Arabidopsis thaliana: one gene and its partner. The protein of the gene in region 2 interacts with the protein of the main gene of each other region in a pairwise test. Each region holds a gene or a part of one and is shown on either strand. Other genes may lie near its edges.

The links. The genes of interacting proteins can lie anywhere in the genome.
Region 1: the proteins of DOG1 (region 2) and HAI3 interact in binary tests that used the Arabidopsis thaliana proteins (3 or more experiments, as listed by UniProt).

Annotation. Positions count from the first base shown.
Region 1 is NC_003071.7:12,606,259-12,611,105, reverse strand, and holds HAI3 (highly ABA-induced PP2C protein 3), read right to left. Parts: upstream 2,432-4,847; 5' UTR 2,252-2,431; coding exon 1,883-2,251; intron 1,795-1,882; coding exon 1,477-1,794; intron 1,384-1,476; coding exon 982-1,383; 3' UTR 756-981; downstream 1-755. Other genes in the region: SMO2-2 (sterol 4-alpha-methyl-oxidase 2-2), read left to right, coding at 1-33, 93-209, 294-348; AT2G29370 (NAD(P)-binding Rossmann-fold superfamily protein), read right to left, coding at 3,743-3,925, 4,016-4,122, 4,201-4,417, 4,524-4,731.
Region 2 is NC_003076.8:18,588,315-18,593,624, forward strand, and holds DOG1 (delay of germination 1), read right to left. Parts: upstream 3,193-5,310; 5' UTR 3,183-3,192; coding exon 2,696-3,182; intron 2,342-2,695; coding exon 1,931-2,341; coding exon of another isoform or gene 1,902-1,930; exon of another isoform or gene 1,429-1,901; coding exon 1,355-1,428; 3' UTR 1,124-1,354; downstream 1-1,123. Other genes in the region: CIPK20 (CBL-interacting protein kinase 20), read right to left, coding at 1-86.

The DNA of each region.
Region 1 (4,847 bases), on a different chromosome or scaffold from region 2:
GAGCCCCTCGAATTTTCTTCCTCTATACGGCGGGTAAGATAAGACTTCTAACCTGTGATTGCCTTGAAAGAGCAACACCTTAAACCTAACAGATCTTTAATATTAATGTGGGAATCATTTGCTTACAGTGCTGACTTCCATGACTACCATCATCGATTACTCTACACAAAGTCTGGCAACTACTCATCAACGTTTGTTTACATGGACTGGTAAATTATTGAACTCTGTTTCTTACTTTAACAGAAGTCATAACTATAATAAACATGTAAATATGTTTATCTATGTTACTTCAGGATCTTTGGCACCGATAAAGGTTACAGAAAACTTAAGGCCCTAAAAGAAACCTGACAACAAACAAACGTGAAATTCGATTCCCGAGAGAGGTCTTGTTCTCAAAAAACCTTCTTTCTTTTGTTTTGTCTCTACCATTTCCTCAACTTTAGTCATAAGAACATCATTATTTGCTACAATTTGGGTTGTACAATCAAAGCTGCTAGTCTGAAGTCGATTCGATGTTGAAATTTATACGTGACCTCGTTTCTATTGGACTTGTTGTTACTACTGCTTACTGTTTTTCTTATTCTTTAGATACTGCTAATACTCATAATTGCATTTAGAACCTATGATCTACTCTCATGTCTTTGCCTAGCGGCAGAGACTAAGTACCTCTTAAAGTATCTTAATGCCTAAAAGTAAAAGGTATAGTATAGTCTGACAATCTTTTTTAAAGCAAAATGCTTTTACATGTCGACCTTCTTAATTTGATTTGATTTAAGATTATAAGCATACACGAAACAGGATTAGGGTTGACAAGAATAATTCTTATCATTTCTATTAATTAACCCTTTTTCGGGGTTTCCATAAAATCGGGTTAATTTTGTATACAACCAACGTATTCCAAGAATAACCAAAAAGCAAAACTGATATAGAAAGTTAAAGCAAAATTGTCTTCCTCTTCGACTAGTGTCCACTTACGTGTCCTTATCTTCTGAGATCAATCACAACGACACTGACGTTGTCACTACTGTTCCTTGCCAACGCCAGCTTTGTTAGCAATACTGACGCTTCCGTACAAGCCTTGTCCGAAATCGCCGGATCCTCATTATCTTGTCTTCTCCCACCACCACGGAGACACATACGCGCTACAGAGCAGGCGGTCTCGTTTGACACAACATCCCATAAACCATCACTAGCTAGTATGAGGCAGTCATCGTCTCTCCTGTCCGTTATGGTTACCTCCGGCTCGCAACTCACGTAAGGTTTCAAATAGTTGTCTCCTATTGCTCGTGACATTGCTAAGACTCCGAGAACTCTTGGACAGTCCCAATATATGACTCGTCCACCAGCTCCTTCGATTCGATCCAATTCGTCTGGCCGATCAGGCTGTGTTTCATTACAAAGAACACAATCTCCAAGTTAATCCACAAATCCAATCATTGCTTAAATGAAACTGAACATGTTTTGAACGGAACTGACCTTGTGATCGGTTGATAAAGGGACTGGTTTCCCATTGCGGCAGAGAACTGCTCTGGAATCGCCACAATTGGCGACAACGATCTTATCTGGCGTAATGACTGAGACAACAGCGGTTGATCCGACGGAATCACAAGCCGGTGTTTGTAGATCACACTTGCAATTTGCAGTCACGACGGAATCACCCCACGATACAACTTCCTTATCCATGCGTGTGAAGCTACGCTCCATCGTCGTTTTCCATTCTTCTTCATCTTCCATATCTGAACTTAGTTCTTCTTGCACCAGCTTGTGAAGCCTCTCTCTACACCTTGCTGCAACCTAAGGAAAAAAAAAAGATTTCGTATCAGCTAAAACTGAAAACATAGAATTTCGGAAAACGTAAGAATGCATGGTAACGGAGTCGTACGTGGGAACAACCATGGCCGTCATACACACCAAAGTAGTGTTGAGGAAATTCCGAATTCTTCGGAGAAGAAAATGAAGGATGAATTGCCACCGCATCTTCCATCTCTCTTCTTCTACCGCACACCGAAGAAACACCGTATCTTGGACTGGATACGTCGACATTTTGGTCAGAGAAATCCTCCCGAGAGCTTCGAGGAATTGAAGAGTATCTCGTAGCTAAAGCCTCCTGTTTACTACGCTTACAATTCTTCTCCCAATCTTCATGCATCACCGTTTGGAATCTCGGCCTCCGCCGTGAATGTGCCGGCGTTGATTCATAAACCGACGACGGACATGCGTCGGTCACTACTTCGTAACATATCTCGGCCATATCCGGGGAAAAAAACCTTAAACTTTGATGTCTTCAAATGGATTTTGCTCTGTATTTCTGATCAAGAAGAACAAAACTCTTTCTTAGATGTTTCAAGAAATGTTTTCTTTTTTGATGAACTCTTTCAAGAACTGGTGATTCCTGTTTTGGTTGCTTCACTGGTTAATAAAAATGCTCGAAAACCATTCAATTTGAGAAATAATGTCATTACACGTTACTTGCATTCTCTATTTTATACACAAAACCTGCCTCTTCAGAAACAATTTTAAATTCTTTCTATAAAAAAAGTAATCCACGTAAGGCGTCAGTATCGAGTGCGAGATTCGTGGTCCAATCAAATTGAGACGGCACGGATGACGGATCATAGGAAGTTTCCTTTCGCGCCACGATGCTTTTCCCCGCAAGGTAGGTTTTGTTTTCTGTATTTAAATAACTAGAGGAATTTCATTACGTTAGTTTTCACATTTGATTACATGAATAACCTAAGTTTAGGTATAAATCAGTGTTTACTTTCAAAACCTAACAAGTTTAGTGCTAATAATTTATGTTTGTCCCTAGACAGTAAACACGTTAACAAAGAAAACCTTAATAAACTTATATCTGAATTTTTATTATTATTGTCTTGAGAGTCCAGAGAATCATCGGAAATATAATATGTATGACTTATATGACAGTAATCAGCTATGTTGTGATGGCAGTCTGAACAATTATTAAACAAATTTATCATCGACAAAGCAATTTGAATTCTCATCGTCCAAATATCCAAGAAATGCGATAAAGTTTTATATACCCAAGAAGATTAAATAACAAGTTACATATATAGTTTGTTTTTGAATTTAGAAAATTTAAGGAATATTTTGTTTACATGTCTATTATTATGAGTCCTTGAATATGATATATGAGTATGTTTCCAACGACATGTCTTTTAGTTTAGTTGATATATAGAAGAAACTTGTTTTGTGCTATGCGTGAGAATAATAATAATAATAAATTTATATCAAATATATATATATATATATATATAATTATGAAGATAATTCTTTCTTTGTTTTGTGTTATGCGTGAGAATAATAATAATAAATTTATATAAATTAAAAAAAATTATGAACATAATCTTTACTCCTTTAGCAAAAGTAATCTTTTTAGGCTTTTAGCCATAACCCCCTAAAGATAGGGATACTAGAGTTGAAAATCGTACGGTCATCATTACATGACTATATAATCATATATCATAAGTAGAATATATACAATAATTATTTTATATATCAAAAGTCACAATACGATTGGAAACGAACAAACATCAAATGTGAACACAAGTAACTTCTTATCCGATAAGATAAAAGATTGAGTTCTTCGTCCAAACATTAGAAGGCATGAACGGAGTGAGCTCCCTCAACATAAGTTACATATAAAACTTGTATGAATTAATATGCAGTGAAACCACTAATTAATCACATAAATTTAAGCATGAATATATGCATATATACGTGTTTAAGGCAAAGAGAAGCCGTTAATAGTGAAACCTCCATCAACGCAAATGGTTTGACCTGTTATATAAGAAGCTGCGGGAAGACATAGAAATGCAACAAGCGATGATACTTCATTTGCCTCTCCAACACGTCTCAATGGTGTCACACTCTCCACCTTTTCTTTTACATCTTTATCACCGAGGAACTGAAACATTTTCACATAAACTTCGTAAGAAATAGTTAAACCATTTTTTCATACTATAAATGAAATGTATTTTCTTATTCATTGTCTTACATCTTTAGTTGACGGAGTTGTAATGAACCATGGACAAACAGAATTAGCCCTTATATTATCACTCGCCCACTCGCATGCTAAATTTCTCGCCAGCTGATTCATGGCTCCTAGAATGCGTATACATTTATTTAAGTCGCGATAGAAGCAAAGAATCATAAATTGTTCGAGTATGCGTATAATTATACCTTTGGTTGCTCCATAGATTGATGTATTACCCAAATTTACAACTCCAGCCACGGAAGACATGAGCACAATGTTCCCTGAACCAGAGGCTTTCAATAAAGGATGCGCGAGTTGCGAGAAATGGAAAGTTGACTCCAGATTTGTAGCTATTATAAATGAGAACTCTTCTGCTGTACACTCAGTCGTCGGCTTTAGTACACCTATTCCCACATTGGGTACCTATACAAACGAAGCAAACAAAATTCAACATGATTTTGGTCATTGTCGATCCAAGCTCATAGACGAGGAGGAGGAGAAGCTTATATATATACACACACACACTTACGAGGATGCTGAGTTTTCCTTGGAAGAGAGAGGAAACAGTTTCCATGAGTTTCTCTCGCTGGTCACGAGAAGAAACATCGCAAACAGAAGTGGTGACTTGTAACCCTTTTGCTTGCCATTCACGTAAGCTTTCTTGAAGCTGAGTTTCGTCTCTGGCACATGTGTGAACTCTTGCTCCCAACATGGCTAGTTCCTCCACCACAGCTTTTCTATTTATACATCAATATGAATTTATACATATCATTAAGCCTTTGATCTTTTCAGGGGTTGATTTGATTAAACATAGAAATACTATCAAAAGATCCACATAAGTCTATGATTGAGC
Region 2 (5,310 bases):
GCGTGGTACACTTTTGCGAATGTGCCTTGACCTAGAAGACGACCTAATTCATATTTTCGCATCAAAACTATGCCGTTTTTATCCATTTATTGACGCTTTTGAGGGAACAAAGGAACTTGATGAAAAAGCAGAGGATGAACTATTGATTAACTTCGTCTTGGAATGTGTTTCCCATGGCTTAGAAGAGATGGAGCTCAAATTTTGAAAATATCAATTATATTTTTTCTTCTTTTTTTTTGGGGTCTAAACCTTGCATATATCAAAATAGTAATGCTAAAAACAAATACAAGAGGAAAAGATCTTAGATTTGTGTGGTCGTGGTGATGCTTCGAGTGGGCTCTTCTAAATATAGTGGAGGCTAGTTGTTGTTAAATATTAGAATATCCCAGATTTTTGTGTGTGTATATAATAGATTTTGTAATTACAAATATATGTGGACTTCAATGCCGGTCCTGTCTGTAAATCTTAAGAATCATGATTCAAAATAAGAGTTGTCGCATAAAATGTCATGATACGAAAATAAGTGGAGGATAAATCTTGGAGTTGCAAATACAGATATGGATATGATTGTTAACATCGGCCAATTTTTACTCGGCCCGACCCACTACAAACCCAGGGAGGCAATCACTGAGGAATAAATAAATATGAAACATAGAAAAGTTGATCATGTTCATGGGGGCATCTAGAATTGTGTCATCTAGGTAGATTGCAATATATTTTTACAGTTATAAGAAGTGTTTTTGTAGGTTTTAGAGTGTTATTTTCATTTGAATGATTAGATTTGATCTCTTGCTATCTGTAGAAAAACTAGTATTCTTGGCGATTAAGATATTTTAAGTTATCAAATCGCATTGAAGAGACTCAAATCAATTTATAGAATGAATCATGTAAACATTATTCCACCATGAAGTGGTTACTTAGGTTTAATGTTATTTTAAAGTTAAAGAGCTTACTAATCGCGATCCAAACTTTAACCCTATAGTACATTTCACCACTATGAATACTTGAAATGTTGTGGAATCTTATCTCAAGTATAGAGCTTGGTTAGGTTTAATGAGTTAAGTTTGATATAAATTAAGTTAATATAGATACAGTTGAATTTTCGAAACTAGAACTCTTATTTTTACCAAATCTGCCAAGTCCATAAAAAAAAAGGATGCGTTCAATGAAAAAAAAAGGATGCTTCCAACAATTTATTTAGATACTCCACAATTTTCTTTATGAATATTCCCTACCACACAAAATAATAATGGAAAAATCTAAGAATATAAAAATCCAATGCAATCTTGGATAAAAATCTCCTAGCTGACTTGTCGAGACGAGATCATGTTGCTGCCACGTAAACACACAAATCTCAATTTCTCTCATTATTTGTCGTCTCCGTGGGGCGTGGGCCACTATTCACAGTTGTACATGCATCGAATATTACTGTATTTCGCAAAATGCCACGACGTGAATAAACTATAAAAAATAGAATAATTCAAATATATCTTCGATAAGTGATAAAATTTAAAACATCAAAATGTAACTTATAAATGATTTCTTATCCATTAACCAAAAAAAAGGTTATTTTTTATCCTTACAAACTACAATCTTATAACGAAACAATAATTATTATATAAGATTATATATAAAACTATATTTCTGCATTTAATAAAAAACAAAAGATCCATCTTATACAAAGCAAAATCTTAATTATTTATAATATAAACTAACATAACGCATTGCACCTTGCTACCATAAGTCTTCAGAAAATAAAAGTAACACACATACGGGTTATATATCCCTAGAATATATGCCAAATATATAACTTTATAATATCAAGATTGAAAACCTTGTTATTATGCAATTTTAAATATGACACGTACGTACCTATAGTATCATATCTAATATAATAACGACTACTTTCCTTCCTCTCCTCCGGCATTACCTTCGGTGTCAACCATACAGTCACGACGGCGACGATCTCTCATAGTTCCCCACTCATGCATCGAAAGATGAAGCTTTTTCCCAGCGAGCAAGAAATCCGCTCCTTGTACCGGAGATAGAATCCCGAGGATCTTCGCTAAAGTATCAACCCTTAGATTATCGGCCTCGACCAATAAACGAGCCATAGCTTCTTCTTGCTTGTCGAGAGCTTGATCCACCACTACGTTAGGCTCTCCGACATTCTCCATCTCGTAAGCCACAGTGGCGATGGGAATATCCGCTGCGTCTTCTTGTAGGCTTGAGACTTTCTTGGTCATCTTCTCTTCTTCGTCTATAATTTTTACATGCAACACATTGATTTTAGCTAGCTGCTCCGCACTTAAGTCGCTAAGTGATGCACCGCCGCCACCACCTGTCAAACCAAACCATATTGAACCAACCGAACCGAAACCATTAGAATTTTGGTATAGATCTATGGTTCGGAATCATTTTTTATGATTAATTTTATTTAAAAATAATAATATATTTGTATAATATATAGAACTGAACAAATTCCAAATTCAAACCGAACCCAACTTAATATAAAACCTAAGAATCTATTATTTTTGTCATAAGCAAAATGAACAGAATAAATAAATTTTAGAAATCGGAAGGAAGACAATAAAATTTTTTGCCGCACCGTACTGACTACCGAACCAAAAAATTAAATTTAGTCTATTTTTTTATTCCTCAAAACCGAAATAACCGAAAACGTCCAAACCCTTACCTGAAGATTCGTAGCCGTCGATGTTGCGGAGAAACTGAGTCACACGGATCTCAGTTTGTGACCCACACAAAGCATAAACGAGCCTAAAGAAAGAAGATGGTCGACAACCACCCATCCAAATTAGAGCGTTCTCTAAAGGACTGTTCCACGTGGGTGCATAATAGTTCGAGCTACATCGGTGAGCAAGATCAGCTCTTTTTGCGGCGTAATTTTTGAAATCACCGATGATTTTTCCCGTTAACTTACGAAGCTTGTTATCATTATCTTCATCACCGTGAGATCGTCGTTGAGCTAAGAGTTGTTTGAGCTCAGGGATGCGTTGAGATTGCAAACTCATCCACTCGAGATAAGAATCTTGAGCTTGTTCGATGTTCTTTGATGAAGATCCCATTTTTTTTTTTTTTTCTGATATAATGAGGAGTATTTTGATTATTGGTTTGATCTCTTTTGGTTTGCGTGTTTGTGTTTTGTGTGTTTTTGTTTTCATTTCATTGGGTTTATATATAGTTAAAAGTTAAATGGACCAGAATTATATTTTATTCTCTGATTAATGATTATCTCTAAAAATAATACTATACATTATAATACTTATGGATAAAAATGTCGAATAAACTGAATTATGATTAAACAATTAAATTTTCTTCTAAATATATATTTAGTAGCGTTATATTAACCGAACCAAATTATTATCGTTTAAATTTAATATAGGGAAACAATGACAAATGTCAAAAATAAAGAGGAAAAATAGAAACATTGACAACTCAAAAGTTGAAAATGAACTTGGACAGAAAATGTTTACTTGGACACATATTAAAACGAGTATTAGTATTGAAAGTTGGAAGATTAGTACGTGCTTTCCGAGGAAATAAAAGAAATAACGCATGCATGCATTACGTGGAGGACTAATAGAGAGTGCGAGTTGTTGTTCCAAAATAGTTTAATTTGCCATTATTTTTGTGTAAATTTGGTTGTATTTTCTTCTTCTTCATTAATTATCTGAAAAAGAAAAGTAAAAACCCTTCCTGTAAGTTACGGAAGCCGACACACTCACAAACTAATATATCAATTCACATTGACCCGATATAGAAAAAACAAGATTTTACATGCATATATTATAGTATTAATTAGGATAAAACAAGAAGTGTTGTTCTTCTAAGTTCTAAATCGATCTAAGACTTACACGAGTAGATATGATACGACAACGTTCCTGGAATCAGAAATTCAGAATGGTGTTAAATGTTCCATGTGGCAATTTTACCTCTTTAAAGAGGAAAGAAATTGGAGATTAGATCATACAATTATCAACTTTTCATTCCTAGGATTCATCAATTAAAATATCAGTCTTTTAAATCACTGTGGTTAACAACTAATTCATTGGTATCACTTATTTGATGATTTTTTAATATTCACGATATGTTTTTTTTGTTACTGATATAAATGATTTTTTTGGATGTCCTGAGACAGCGGATTGTACAGTATGTTATATTTATATATATTTTCGTATAAATAATTATTATTCTTTGGGGATCAGAGACTTAAGAAGAGGTGTAGAATATCTTGGAAACGAGTTATCTCCAACTTTTGGACGTTTTTTGGTAAGTACTAAATTATTATAACGAGCTTCGTTAATTTACTTTTGTCTTTTACTACGGAGAAAATGATTAGAAAACTGGTTATATAGTAGTGAAAATTATTCACATGCATCAAATAGGAAGCGACAGAGAAAAAAAGACATATATATGGTGGATTTCAATATCAAAATAATATACAAAAGTTTGTTTAAAGGATGCAATAAAGAAAATTATTCAGTGTAGTGTAACTTGTGTACAAGGAAACCTTTGAGAGCCGTGAAAAAAAGAAGATGGAAATCTTCTACAAAAAATAATGCACCTCAAAATCACGAGGTCGAATCTTGAATATAATACCTGTTTTGGTTTTCCGAGGGAATTATGGACAAGCGGTCCACAATATCTTGATTAAGAACCAAATATTAACATCGTTATTATTGGTTCTATTTATAGCAGTGAATCAAACACGTATGAGGATAGTTCGACACGTACTACGCTAGTCTCGTCGTGTAACGTGCTTAATGAAAAAGTATGTCACGGTTGTCGTTAGTCGTTACCTTTAGGCTCAGGTTATGATGACATATGACCTTATCTTTTATTTATTTTTTATGATAACACAAGATCACTTAATGGGAATACTTTTTTTCAGAAAAAACATTCTGCTTAAAGCTGCATATATTGTAATCAAAGAGTTTTTCGAATAAATTTTACATTGATTCATAAAAGAAAAAACATTAACGGGTAATTTGCATTATCAATTGTCAATGCAAAAGTAACAACAACTAGTGTTTAAATCTTGCGGTTAGGTTTTTAGACCTTTGGCCACCTATCCGGTCATATATCTAATGGGTTTAATTCAATCTTATCTACCTCCTCTTACTTGGGTTAAAAATGTAGACAAGAATATATGTTTTTGAGAGAAACGTTTTTGGTATAGTAGTGGTGGTGATCTACTAGTATAGGTTCTTCTCATCTAAATGAGTTCGACTTCTCCTACTTAAAAATAGGTTTAATTTAAGCTGAAGCATGCACAAACAATTTGGTCTA